Linked DNA regions of Astyanax mexicanus. The protein of the gene in region 1 interacts with the protein of each later gene in a pairwise test. Links are inferred from orthologs where the notes say so. Each region holds a gene or a part of one and is shown on either strand. Other genes may lie near its edges.

Region 1 (8,236 bases):
AATATGACTCACACACATACACACACATATGACATCATCCTCTTCTCAAACAACCTGTCACAGGCTCTGCTGTAATCGCACTTTACGGTCCGCTCTCACTTCAGAGTGTGCCTCAGCCCTGACCGGCAGAGATGATTCATCCACAGAGAATAGAGCCCTGCTGCTCTCACTGCTCGTACTACTAATTCCATGTGTTTTCCACGGAGGGAGTGGAGTGGAGCAGTGGGCTACACATTGTGTCAGAACCTGAAACCACAGTACACCCACTCCCTGACTCTTATTCATGCACAGTCCTCATATTCACTCTAACACTTAATCTCTTTCACTTCAACATCACTCTTCTAACTGCTTTTTACACAATTTTCATAATCCCTCATGTTACTAAGCCTTTCAGTGGACAATCTACATTCAAAATTTTGTGTAGTCCAAGACTGGGCCACAACACTGTCTAATAAACTGCCTCTATATGTCCAAATGTTTGTGTACACCCATTCTAACATGCATGAATAGATTTAGCTAGTTTAAGATACAGCCACTGCAGATGTGTACATGGAAGTAAACACACAGAGATTTTCTAATCCATGCAGAAAAGTACTGACAATAAATGAGGACTGTCTGTTGTGAAGCAGTGGAACTGTACTATTACTTTTGAAATGAGCAGTGGAGTGAGCATTGTGAACATCTTGTCCTCACTAAAGCTATTTTACTGATTGCAATGCAATTTTCACAGCAATGTTCAGCAATCCAGTGGAAAGCCTTTCCAGTACTATTTACTGTAACTGTACAGTTACTTAAAAAAAATAAATAAATTGAATAGGTCCATACAATGCGACTGATATTCACTACTACACTTACTTACATATCTTATATTGACTTATAAATCTTATATACACCCATATTTTCACTCCTACATTCACTCACCTTCTATATATTTACTCCTACATTCATACACTCCCTATCTAAAAGTCACTCCTACATTCATTTATATATTTACTTCTACACTTTTTTTTCATACCGTATAGTGATTCATAAATCGTATATATTAACTCCTACATTCACTCACTCAATATATTTACTCCTATATTCACTCCCTCTCCCTCTCTCTATTATATATACACTTTTATCCATACCTTATATTGATTTATATATATATATATATATATATATATATATATATATATATATATATATATATATATATATATATATATATACAGTTGAGGACGATATTATTAGCCCCCTTACAAAATAGTCCTTGTTTTCTAAGGATTTTCCAAGTGATATTAACCAGAGCAAAATAAACTAAACACAGCTTTTTTAGACATCGTAGTTTTATTTTGGATGCTTACACTATATTGTATTCCACTCAGAAATGAAGATATTACACAAAACACAAAAACTATCTGGGTCAAAATTATTAGCCCCCCACATCCTAATAGTTAATTGTGTATCCTTTTTGCTGGATTACTGCCTGCAGACGTTTGTTGTAGTTTACAACAAGTCTCTCACACTTCATTTGAGGAATCCTGGCCCATTCTTCTTTGGCAAATCTCTCAAGTTCCTCTAGATTCGATGGTTGTCTTGCATGGACATTTTTCTTTAGGTCACCCCACAGATTTTCTATTGGATTTAAGTCAGGGCTTTGTGCAGGCCATTCAATGACATTCACTTTGGTCATCCGGAGATAGTTCTTCACCAGGAGGGATGTGTGTTTAGGATCATTGTCATGTTGGAAAATGAAATGACGTCTCAGACCCAGTTTCACAGCTGACTGCTTAAGGTTCTCTTTCAAAATATTCACATATTATTCTTTATTCATGATTCCATCCACCTTGACAAGATTTCCAGTTCCAGATGCACTGAAGCATCCCCATAGCATAATAATCCCACCACCATGCTTCACTGTGGGGATGGTGTTCTTTGGGTTGAATGCCTGTCCTTTTTTTCTCCAAACATAAGCAGTGTCCCTGTGGCCAAAGAGCTCTAGTTTAGTCTCATCAGACCATAAGACACGCTTCCAGTATGAATAATTTTTCTCCAGGTTGTCCCGAGCATACTTTAGTCTTGCTTGAAGGTGCCTCTTCCTCAAAAGTGGAGTTTTTCTTGGTCTGCACGCTCGCAGGTCATTCCTGTGCAGCTCTAGTGATGGTCTTCTTAGAGACTATGATTCCTGATGTGGCCAAGTCATTTGCCAGTGCCTTGGAAGTTAATCTGGGGTCTCTAGACACATTTCTCACTAGTATTCTTTCCAGTCTCTCTGAAATCTTTCTCTTTCTACCTCTGCCAGGCTTGTTCTGCACTGTGTTGCTGTCTTTGAATCTCTGAATGATGCCTTTCACTCCAGTTCTTGACACTTGGAAACGCTTGGATATCTTTGTATATCCCTCTCCTGCTTTGTGTGCATCAATAATTCTTTTTCTCAGGTCCAAACTGATTTCCTTTGTTTTTGGCATGTTGCTTCCTCAACTGCCAGCTCCATAATGAGGCTTTTATACCATGTTTTAACTTAAATGAGTTAATTAACTTAACTTAATTGAGTGCAGTCATCTGTTTCACCTGATCACCTTTATGCACATCACCTGAGAAGGTAAAGCACATCACTGCACAAAAGTGGCTTGTGTGATGACTTAATAAATGTTAATTTCTTAAAGGGGGCTAATAATAATGTCCCTGGTCATTTTAGCTTATTCTTACAAAATAATATTTTGGTGCACAAATATAAATATTTTGGTCCTTCTAATGAAAAATTGTATGTTCAGAAATGCTCTGTTAGAACTGCCTTGCTCTGCTAAAAAGGATCTTGCCAGAATCTTGAGGAGACTTAAAATTTCATAGGGGGGCTAATAATATCGTCCTCACCTGTATATATATATATATATATATCATATATTCATCCATTTAATTCACTCTTACTTTCACTCACTCCTTATATTTACTCCTAGACTTTCTTACATACACTATATTGGCTAATAAAGCTTACACTTACCCCTTTTATTCACTCAGTCCCTATATATTCACTTCTTCATTCAATCACTCACTATATTTTTACTCTTACACTTTCTTGCATATCGTATAGTGATTTATATTCACTCCTACATTCACTTTCCATACCTTATGTTCCACTCATTCACTCCTTCCCACATTCACACCTTATGTTCACGCCAACATATAATACTCACACCTTATATACACTCCTACATTTATCCACATATCTTACCCTCACTGGTACACAATTATTCCTTCCCACAATTGACTCACACACATTAAACTCACGGCTTCACTCACAAGCCTTTTATTCACTCCTCTATTCGCTGACTCACTGCTCATATTTACTCCACCATTTAACGTTAACTACATTTTTCTTCATTTTCACTCCTATACACAGTCCCTCCTACACTCTCTCACACGCGACTCACATTAAACTGTCACTTGTTAATCATATAACCTACTAATAATGTAGCTATATAGCTAGAGTTACTTTACTCTGATTCAGTTGTGAAATCTGTAACCTGCAATCAGTTTCAGCATTTTTTAATTAATTAAAATAAAAATAAATAAACATTGAATATTCCCTTGTCACCCGCACACACACATATTTAATATTCACTCCCTCACTCTCACTGCTGCAGACACTCGGTCTTATCTGTCTCTCTCTGTTTAACACTGAACAGTAATAACCGAGCAGCCAGAGCCTGTGTTATCGTGTGGTTCTAGTCGCTAACATGTGAATCAGACGTATAAGAGAATAAACAGTGTTTCATGGTGAAAGCAGAAGGCCAGCTAACGCTACCTGCTAACTCTGGGCTCTTCGTCAGGGCAGCCATCTCCAAGAAACAAGAGTCACGTGATGCGCTCAGCTGCGAGCTGGCCAATCACAGCGCTCCGATCCTGTTACTGAGAGCTCTGGACCTTGTAGTTTTTAAAAATCTTCTATTTGTCATTCATATACTTCATCTCCCATGAAGCCCAGCCTCCCTGTTTTTTTACGGGGCTGGGAAAATGTGCTGTAGCTATGTGGGATGCTGCGCGTCTGCGCTCCGAACAATACAGCCAAAGCCAATGGGACAACAATATGGACTGTATCACTGATCATCATTACCCCGGTTTATAGCATGCTTCTTATTCGCTAGACTGCGGGAAAAATGTGGATACCGACTGAACACGAAAAATATGGCGTGGGTAAGTCTGGGTTTTCATTGTTGTCTCTTTATAATGGACCGGTGAGTTGTAATAGGTGGATTACTGCAGGTGTGATGATAGTGATAAGATGGGGAATCTGTGCACCCTGGGGCTCTGCGTGTGATACAGCGCTCCGGATCTGACTGACAGAAATGTGTGCAGTGATCATCGATTAACAGAATTGAGATCGAATATTTTAAATTAGACTGCAGACTGGTTGCAGTGGTATTTTTTCCAGTGGTTTATGTCCGGTTGTTTGATTGTACTGGTGTTTAATCACTGGCACATGCTGCAATCCGGAGAAATCTTGTTTCGTGGTCATTAAATACAAATAAGAAGCCCCCACCCTCTGTACGCCTAGAATAATATATATATATATATATATATATATGTTTTCTTTGTCCTTATTTATTATTATTTTTATTTGTTTGTATGTTTTAATGTATACATACAAATGACCAATATATACCCAAAACATTTTATATTGAGAATGATTTAAGAGACCACTTCAGTTTCTGAATCACTTTCTCTGATTTTGCTATTTATAGGTATTTGTTTGAGAAAAATGAACAAATTCCAAATAAAAATATTGTCATTTAGAGCATTTATTTACAGAAAATGATAAATGGCTGAAATAACAAAAAAGATGCAGAGCTTTCAGACCTTAACAAGTTCATATTCAAAATGTTCAGAAATCAATGTTTGGTGGAATAACCATGGTTTTTAATCACAGTTTTCATGCATCTTGGCATGTTCTCCTCCACCAGTCTTACACACTGCTTTTGGATAACTTTATGCCACTCCTAGTGCCAAAATTCAAGCAATTCTGCTTGGTTTGATGTCTGATAATTCAATTGGGTAAAATCAAAATAACGCATAATTTTTAAGTGGTCTCTTTTTTCCCAGAGCTTTATATATGTAATGGTTTATGTACATACAGTACATATATAGTGGTGGTGATGTGTGTGTGTGTGTGTGTGTGTGTTTGTTTGTGCTTGTGTGCTTGTGTGTGACGCTCATGTGACTCTTGTGTGGCGAAGTTTGGATCAAATGTGCCCTCCACTATCAAAAAGGTCATGAAATCATCAAAAATCCCCATCTGTTTATAAAACTCAAGGCATACAAGCAGTTCTTATGTTTTGTTTTAGTGTCCAGGCTGGTTTTGTTGTGACAGTAGATGACAGTTTGAGAGATAAATCTTGTCAGATGCGAGTACTAGGGCAGATGAGCAATCCATCAAAATCTGGGTGGCCATTTCCCGCGGGCAAGCAAGTGGACCTAGGCATCTTGCTGAGTCTAAAGTGGGCTGAGTGGCAGCAAAAGTCAGAGGACTCAGAATTCTGCATGGCATAGCTATACTGAACTGCACACTACAGTAACATGGGTTCATTGACCCATTTCAGATTAGGCTCTGACAGTTTGGGAGGAATTAGTTACTGAATCCATTTGAGCCAGAATCCAAAATTGCTTTATCTCATGTACTTCTAAGCATGCTCACTGTAGAAAGTTTCAGATGTTGATTGTCAAGACCTTCTAATCTGCTATTGCCTCGGACCCATCTCTAGAAAAAAACTATTATTATGGCAAACCTTAAAAATATCTTATTTATAGTATGGTTATTTACAAAACCATATGTGTTTTTTCCTGTTCCTTATAGAAGCCTTTTTGGTTAAAATTGACATTCATATCTAACAGATAAAGGATATAATGTTTCAGATTCAGACAGTGTGGTTTAAATGAGAGGAAAAGAGCAATATAAAATGAAAATCGAGCATGAAGGGGTGCAGAGCAAACAAAAGCTGGAGAGACCAACAATATAAATGTCTCTCAAAAGGGAAAAAGAAAATAAAAGAAAGGAGAAGAGATTGAGAGAAAATCATCATCAGCAGCAGCTCTTCTTGCATCTCTTTGTGTAAACTGCAGAACTCTGTCTGTCATAGAAGAGAAGATGCTAAATTCTACTGGGTTTGGTAAACAGTCATATTAGCAATTTTTTATTTGTCATGGATGTAGTCGATCAGTAAAGCAAGATTCAGTATCCAAATTTTATGTATGGATAAGCTGGAGCTGCAAAGCCAACATTTTTAGCTTTAACTCTAGAGGTTAATAGTGTTCATATACATTTCAAATACTTGTTCACTCACATGTATGTCTTCATTAATGCTTTACAGGCTAGTTGATGCGATTTGTCATGAAAGGAGTCTGTGTGTATGTGATAAAAAGTAAGAAAAAAAGTGTAGGTGACTGTTGACTCATAGAGTTATCTACATTAACTTCAGATCTTAAAAAAAAAATAAAACTGGACATTGTGTAGTTTTTACATAATCAATGTTATCTTTTTCTCTTCCAATATCCGATCTAGCATGTCAACCTTGTTAGCATCACTTAGGCTGTAAAAAAGTGTGTGGGCATGTTATTTATTTATGTTATATATTGATTATATATTTATTTAAAATAATTGTTAAATCTGTGTATTTTAGCTACATTTGCTTTGCAGCTCCAGTGCAAAAAAAATAAAGAAAGAAAGAAATTAAATCTAGACACTGAATATGTATAAATGGATTGGGTTTTTTATATGATAGCAGAAGTTGTGTAAAACCAGTTCTTTCAGTGAGCTATTTTTAATTGAAGCACTTCTCTCAAAAATTTGCATACAAAAGTCGAACACTTTGTCGCACCACAGAAGGACAGAGACAGCTAGATTTGCTGCAGAACTGGATCAGATTCAGTCTTTTTACCATTTTAAACTCCAATCTAGAATATCAGCCTGATAATGATACCCTTCTATACTATAATGCCAGCTCTGGAAGTTGCTGTGGACTGGGGATGATAATGAGCTGGAGGATTGTCTGGTGGCTGGCTGTGTGAGTGGTAAAGGCTACAGAGCCCATTAGGGTGGGATATGGAGAAATGTGTGCGTATTAGAGCACTGCTCTTTGGAAGGTGCACACAGCTACAGAAACCTTTATCATTCATGAAATATGGATGGAGTCCAGCGGGGAATGGCACATACACACATGCAGAAATTCACACATGGGCACCCACATTTACACTCTCACACACACCCATACACACACACGCGCACACACACTGTAATCTTGGCTTCTCTTTTCTCTTGGTTGCATATTCAGCTTGAGGTGCCATCTGCTGTACATTGTAAAACCGTCATCAAATAGTACACGTTTCTGTAAACAGAACAGCATGAATTTCCATGATGACGGACCTTCGTTCTGTTCTAAAAACTGTTCTGAATTTTCTTCTCAGCTGGCCGGACCACATGTCCTGGAACAGACAACAGCTTGGTAAAGCAGCTCTGACAAGCTCATATGAAACCATCTCAAATGAAATGAAAGCAGCTCATACTAAAGGCTGTTTAGGGATATCACTGTCAGTTACACTGATAATCAAGTACAAGCCCAATTCCAAAAAAGTTGGGATGCTGTGTATAAACACCCACACTTTATTTACAATAGAACAGATATTAGATATCAGATGTGGAAAGTGAGACATTTTACTATTTAATGAAAATACAAACTGATTAAAAACTTGGGATGGGGCAAAAAAGGCTGGAAAAGCAAGTGGGACTAATAGAAAAAACAGATGAAATTGGAACAATATGCATCTAAATCACATGGCTTGGTATAAAAAGACCATTTAAGTGAGACAGTGTCGTTCAGAAGTCTACAAATAGTGAAGACTAGATATCCCACTATTTACAGTACAAAATTCCAGATTCTGAAAATCTGGAATAATCTCTGTGCTCAAGGCACAGTGCCAACTGTGAATATTGGATACTGGTGATCTTTGGGCCCTCGGGGGGCACTCCATTAAAACCAGACATGATTGTGTACTGGAAATCACTGCACTGGCTTAGGCAGTTATTTCTGACTTAACATCTGATATGTGTTATAAGTTCTGTTGTGAATAAAATATGGGTCTATTATATTAGCAAATGTTTAGTGCCTCAGCTTTGTAATTTACCTTAGAGTTGTAATTTAAAATTAATCAGTTTAATTATGTTTTACTAAAATAAACTTTTAATACTTAACTATTAATT
Region 2 (6,858 bases), on another chromosome or scaffold:
TTTTGTAAATATTTTATATATATATATATATATATATATATATATATATATATATATATATATATATATATATATATATATATATATATATATATATATATATTCATGTTTTATTACTTTAGCACAATTTAAACTTTTTAACTTACCTTTAACGTATATTCAAATAATATATATATTCCATTTAGCTGAATTTATTCAAATCCTAAACTAGAGGTGGGGCAATATGGTTAAAATATTGTATCATATTGTTTAATTGTGATATTTTCATTATACACAATACTTGACATACATATTAAATGCATCATATATAGATTCTGTCAATTAAAAACTCAGACTATGACAAACTACACTCTTTGTAATGAAACAGTTGATGTTTAAGAAAGCTATATTGTGTATCACAATAAAATAATTTATCATGATATGAAAAGATGTTATGATTATGCCTCCCCCTACTCTAAACCTGATCCTAAAAAGAAATATTTTACACAACTAAATCTCAACCCACAACCTACAGTATACCTAACCTGCAGTCTGGGCTTTATAAGGTCCCCTACACTGTTAAAAGACAGCTGAGTTTCAAAAGATTGTTTGTTAACAATTTGAACATCTGTAGATGTTGATGATCTATAGGGAGATATAATCTCCTATCTAAATAAACTGAGACCAAAAGCAATACATCAAGACAGCTGAGAAAACTGTCAGAAGAAGAACATGGATTACAACCATATGTGGGTCAGACAGTTCCCACAGTCATGTGAATGAAAAATGTTGGGGATCCTTCATTTTTTTCCATAACTACGAAACTGCAATATGCACAGACATAAATAAACAAAAAAATAGAACATTTTCCCCATCAACAAAAATTATGCCATATTTTGAATGTGTGATCATAATTTGTATTTTAACAAGACAAAAAAATACATCAAACAAGCTTCTTTCATCAAACCAGGCTTTGACAATCATTGCACAAATGCATTCTTATTTATTCACCACTTCACAGAGGAATGCACAATTCACAAGTTGTGAGAGGGTCCAAATCCAGGGGGTTTATTTACAGAGTAAAACAAGCCTTTTAGAATAATTTCAGTATCTATCCTTCATTGTGTTTCCCCTGTCTCAGGCGGCAGCGAAGATTCCAGCTATGATTAAACAGTAGCAGGTGTCCATGTACAGTACCCAAGGTCTAAAGAGTAAAAGGTAGGGGTGTTCCTCGGTCCACATTAGCAAATGACACATCCACCTTTCTCCTTGAATGGATTCTTCTCCTCTGAAATGCCTTTGACCAGGATGTCTTCCTCTACACCTGCCTGAATGTATTCCATGACCTCCTCACAGCATTTAGACACCTGACCAAATAAAAAGGGCAAAAATAATATTATTCAATATTAATATGCAGTATCAAGTATAATGCAATGTAATGCATAATTACAGAACTAAATGGAAAATCCTCATGAAACTTTTAGGGGTTTTTAATTTAAAACTGTGAAGGAACACCTTAAAGTGCTTTAGAGGAACCCTCAGCAAAAAGTTTAAAGAGACCACCTGAAGCTTTCTAGTTTATTCTTATTTGTTTAACAGTGTAGAATAACCTCTTTTTTTTCCAAAAAGAACCTTTAGGTGCCAAAATCTTTATTTATTTATTTTACATCACCAACAGCTGATCATGAATATATAATTACCCAGACCTTACCTTTTCTCGCTCTAGTTTCACCTCAACTTTCAGCTGAGTTACTTCCATTTTTGCCTTATCCAAGTCCGTCAAATCGTCTACATTTATGACCGGCATTTTCTGTAAGAAAAGAAACTAAATTACAAATTTGTAAACAACAACAAATACTGCACATTATTTCAAACCAAGGCTAAAGAAACAGTATTATATTTCACATTAAAGCAATGATAGTCAAACTTACTGCTGCTTACGGTGAGCTCCTTTCCACCCTGAAAATGGCCAGAGAATCCTGCGCCTGTCTCTCAATCCGGGTTATAAAGTAATCTGTATAAACATTGTAATCTCTTAATCTTATTAAAACAAGCACTCTTATTTTGCAGTTTATTTCAGGTATTTTTTTACTCTAATGTAATGACAATGTTACTGTTTTTGGCCTTTTAAATATATTTTTAAATGCTTCACAGCTTTTAATTTATGGCCAGGGTTAATATGTGAGTGGCTTCTCAATGTTAATATCACAGTATCAATGTGGGTCAAGGGGACAGGGCATTACAGGCTTCTATGTTGAGCAAGCTAATCTGTGTTTACCCCCAACCCATCACGCTGGATAATACATCATCATTCTTAATATGACAAATGTGTTCCCTCAAGAAATGAATGAGGGAGACGTGCCCTCTGGCCAGACAGTGACCACGAGTGGCATGATAAAAGCTATGCCTGTGACATGTGCTCTGTGCTCATTCTGAAAACTGGGGGGAAAACTGGGTACATTAGATTTGTTGTGAACTACTCCTTTAATCCTTTAAACCCTACATGCCCGTATGTTGGCCCGTACTTAAATTTCACACATCAGTTTTATAGTATATCCCAAATCATTTATAGTGAATACTTAATCACTTAATTTATGAAATATACTGAAATATTTAGTAGATCCTGAAAAATTAACTATGGGTACTAATATAAAAAAAAGATTTATTTTAAATAATAATTAACTGTAGATACTATATTCTACAGAATATACAGAATCATTTGAAGTAGATTTGAAATTATTAATAGCCATGGTTACTGAATAATTAGTAGATTTAGAATCATTTATAGAACATACAAAATAATTTATAGTACATAGTGAATCAATAGTGAGTTTAAACAAGGGTACTTTATTGTAGATTTTAAATCACTAATAGCAGATACTGAATCAGTTATAGGAGAATCTGAATCATTTATAGTACATACTGAATAATTTATAGAAGAATCTGAATCATTTATAGTACATACTGAATAATTTATAGAAGAATCTGAATCATTTATAGTACATACTGAATAATTTATAGAAGAATCTGAATCATTTATAGTACATACTGAATAATTTATAGAAGAATCTGAATCATTTATAGTACATACTGAATCAGTTATAGAAGAATCTGAATCATTTATAGTACATACAGAATCATTTATAGAAGAATCTGAATCCTTTATAGTACATACTAATCAGTTATAGAACAATCTGAATCATTTATAGTACATACTGAATCATTTATAGAAGAATCTGAATCATTTATAGTACATACTGAATCATTTATAGAAGAATCTGAATCATTTATAGTACATACTGAATCAGTTATAGAACAATCTGAATCATTTATAGTACATACTGAATCATTTATAGAAGAATCTGAATCATTTATAGTACATACTGAATCATTTATAGAAGAATCTGAATCATTTATAGTACATACTGAATAATTTATAGAAGAATCTGAATCATTTATAGTACATACTGATTCAGTTATAGAAGAATCTGAATCCTTTATAGTACATACTGAATCATTCATAGAATAATCTGAATAATTTATAATATATACTGAATCATTTATAGAAGAATCTGAATAATTTATAGTAAATACTGAGTAATGGGTCTTACAAGTACAAAATTAGCTTTGGATTCAATCATTTATAGAATACACTGAACCATTTATAACAGATAATAAATAACTTGTAGTATATATAAATCATTAATAGTGGATATTGAATCATTTATAGCAGAAACAGAATAATTCATAGTACATACTGAATTGTTTGTGGTAGGTATGGAATCACTTACAGTAGATACTGAATTGTTTATAGAAAATACATAATACTTTTTTTTATAAATATTGAATAATTTGTAGTAGATACTGAGTAATGGATCTTACAATTACAGTAACAGTGATAACAGTAATAACAGTAAGTCTAGGATTCAAGATAATAGTTTAGTAAGATAACAGTTTATGTTTCATTGTCTGTGTATTTTGATTACTCACAGAGCACAAGGTTTAAAAGGTGTGTTGGTGATGTGGCGTAATGCTGTTTTATACAGTGTGGTCACTCGGACACGACCGCTTCTGACTCAAATATTCTATTTCCCTGGCATTAGTGAAAGTGTAAAACGTCATTACAGCGGTTAAGTCATTCCTCTGTGCGTAGCTGACTGAGTCAAAATATCCTTTTTTAGCTTATCAAATTGAAAGTATGTCAAAACTTAAAAAAAAAACAAGCACTCCGTTTTCTCCTCGCTCTTCTAATCAACAAGCATGTCGAGACTCATAACTCATATCCTCAGTATTTGCTTATGTTGGCCTGCTTCCCTCAGGCGGGAAGAGTGGTTGCACTTGTTATCTTTCATAATGTCTCGCTGATGGCTGAGTCCTGCTATAGGCTGATGTAGAATCATTACGTTAAGCTAACGCACGTGAAACAAGGCCAGGGTGTGTCGAGGAACCAGTGACATTTAATGAACACATTATTACTAAATGCTGTTTCCTAAGAGACTCTGTAATATTTTGTTGTGTCAGGTCTCAGGGGTGTTGCTCTCTGAAATAAGATTAATGAGTGGTCAGTGAATACTTTTGAAACCACTTTGAGGCTTAAGAAATTTCACCATGTATTTAACCTTTTACTGCTTCAATTGTTTTACACATATGGCAACAATTACTTTTTTTTCACTACCATATAAAACTTACATTTAAATTTTTTGGTCTACAAAATCTGATTTATCTGTAACATGGAATATTGCTGTTATTTTATACAAAAAATATTTGCACAGATGGTATTACATAATGTATGAATATACACTGTATGGACAAAAGTGTTGGGACACATGCTTATTTTTTTCTTCTGAATTCCTGGGGAAAAATAGAGTTCATCCTGCTTTTGTGGAGTAACTGTCTCTGCTGTCCAGGGAAGACTTTTTACTAAATTTTGGAGCACTGCTATAAGGATTTTATAGAATTCAGTGACAAGAGCATTTGTGAGGTGACAGTGTCAGGTGATCACTCTCTCACCTCATCCACAAACAAACCCAAGCATTTATATAATGCTTTTTAAAAGAAATGTTTTCACAAAGCAGCTTTACACAGACATGTGATTTACACAGACATGTAATTTCAAGATAAGTTAAAACATACAATCAAAAAGAATCCAAGCGTCTTATGAATAAATAAAACAGTATGAAGGTTGTAATGTTACTGATGTCAAAGGGTTTTTTTCTTAAAGGATTGTTTAAAGGAATGCTTATTATATTTTAGACAACTTGAAATTAAACTTATACATCTTTTTAAAAGTGTGTTATTTCACCACCTGTCCACCATTGTCCTGATCCGATGCCTGCCCTGAACCCCGGCCTCTGTTGGGTCGAGTTCAAGAAAATAGTCTTATTAAATTGTTTTATTAAAAAGCTATTTTTCCTTTATATAAAGCTACGGCGTGATAATCACAGTATAGCAAAGTAAGCATTGGCCTATGCAGTGTGCACACAATCTCCTCCACTTGTCTGTAGCTGCAGCCATTTACACGGCTAAAATGAAAAGCTTGGCACGTTGCCCAATTGCTACACCACACATTTTTCGTAATCATGCAGGGCAGGCTCCATGGATGTTTGAGGTGCAGAAATCAGAAAGTACAGGCACCCACAGCTCTACTTAACTAAAAATGTGGGGTTTAAAACGGGTGATGACAGTTTATGTGGCGGGTTGGGTTGGGCTCATACAGAACAATGAGCTCTAGGCAGCACTATGAACACGGCAAAAACCTCCACCCTCCATGTCAAAGAAAAGGCAATTAAAAGGATGGCCGTATCTGTGCTGACTGTTTGCAGCAGCTGTGATCGGCTGGGTAGTATGAGGGTAAGCTGAAAGCGAGCCTTGTGATTGGCTCAGTTAATCAGTAGTCAACATCATATCTGAAAGAGTTTAGCTGTCCCATTTCCCCCAATCACAGCTCCTACTCTCCACTCCTCCTCCTCCTCCTCCTCTCCTTAATTTCTCAATTTTCTTCTGGGTAGAAGTGGAGGAGTAGGGAAGAAGGAGTAGGAAAGGAGGAGGAGGAGAGGAGGAGTAGCAAAATTTTCTTGATGCAGCCAGTAATGGACATACAGTGCACCCTGATTGGTCTACTGAGCACAAGAATGGACCAATCAGGGTGCTCTGTATGTCACACCCACTATGTCACTATGTTCAGTGGGTGGAATTCGTATTGTTGCTTTGTTTGTTTTGTTGATTTACACTCAACATTTCTGTTTGATTACAGTGTGGTGTTGACTTTAGTTCTAAATGCAGGGTATATATAAAATACACTGCCAGGCCAAAAAAAAAAGTTGCCACCAAAAAAAAGGTCACACACTGTAATATTTTGTGGGACCGCCTTTAGCTTGGATTGCAGCTGCATTCACTGTGGCACTGTTTCGTTAGGCCTTCCGCAATGTCACAAGATTTATTTCAATCCAGTGTTGCAAATTTTTTTTAAGATCATTGCATTGATAATGGTAGAATCTGATCTGCGCAAAGCCGTCTCCAGCAAATTCCAAAGATTCTCAATGGGGTTAAGGTCTGGACTCTGGTCTGGTCTGGAAGCTGGTGAACAGTCCATGTGCGAAAATTATGATGGTCCCTATATCACTCTTTCACAATTCCAGCCCCGTGAATCCTGGCATTGTCATCTTGGAATATGCCCGTGTCATCAGGGAAGAAAAATCTATTGATGGAATAACCTGGTCTATATTCAGTATATTCGGGTAGTCAGCTGACCTCATTCTTTCAGCACATACTGATGCTGAACCTAGACCTGCAGACCAACTGCAGCATCAACCCCACATCATTCCCAGCTGGCACTCAACCTATTTCGTCGTTGAAATGGTTAATCTGTTAAACATAGGA

Evidence for each region.
Region 2: the proteins of znf277 (region 1) and gngt1 interact in a two-hybrid assay, tested with the Homo sapiens proteins (3 studies listed by BioGRID and IntAct). The two-hybrid records come from large-scale screens. The link is inferred for Astyanax mexicanus from reciprocal best matches to the Homo sapiens genes ZNF277 and GNGT1.

What each region holds. Positions count from the first base shown.
Region 1 is NC_064417.1:35,275,424-35,283,659, forward strand, and holds the start of znf277 (zinc finger protein 277), read right to left. Parts: upstream 3,873-8,236; 5' UTR 3,825-3,872; coding exon 3,791-3,824; intron 1-3,790. Other genes in the region: dock4 (dedicator of cytokinesis protein 4), read left to right, coding at 4,143-4,179. UniProt on the Homo sapiens protein: Probable transcription factor. Involved in modulation of cellular senescence; represses transcription of the tumor suppressor gene INK4A/ARF, perhaps acting via the Polycomb group (PcG) complex PRC1.
Region 2 is NC_064410.1:48,608,002-48,614,859, reverse strand, and holds gngt1 (guanine nucleotide-binding protein G(T) subunit gamma-T1), read right to left. Parts: upstream 1,998-6,858; 5' UTR 1,911-1,997; intron 1,790-1,910; 5' UTR 1,787-1,789; coding exon 1,691-1,786; intron 1,347-1,690; coding exon 1,221-1,346; 3' UTR 963-1,220; downstream 1-962. UniProt on the Homo sapiens protein: Guanine nucleotide-binding proteins (G proteins) are involved as a modulator or transducer in various transmembrane signaling systems.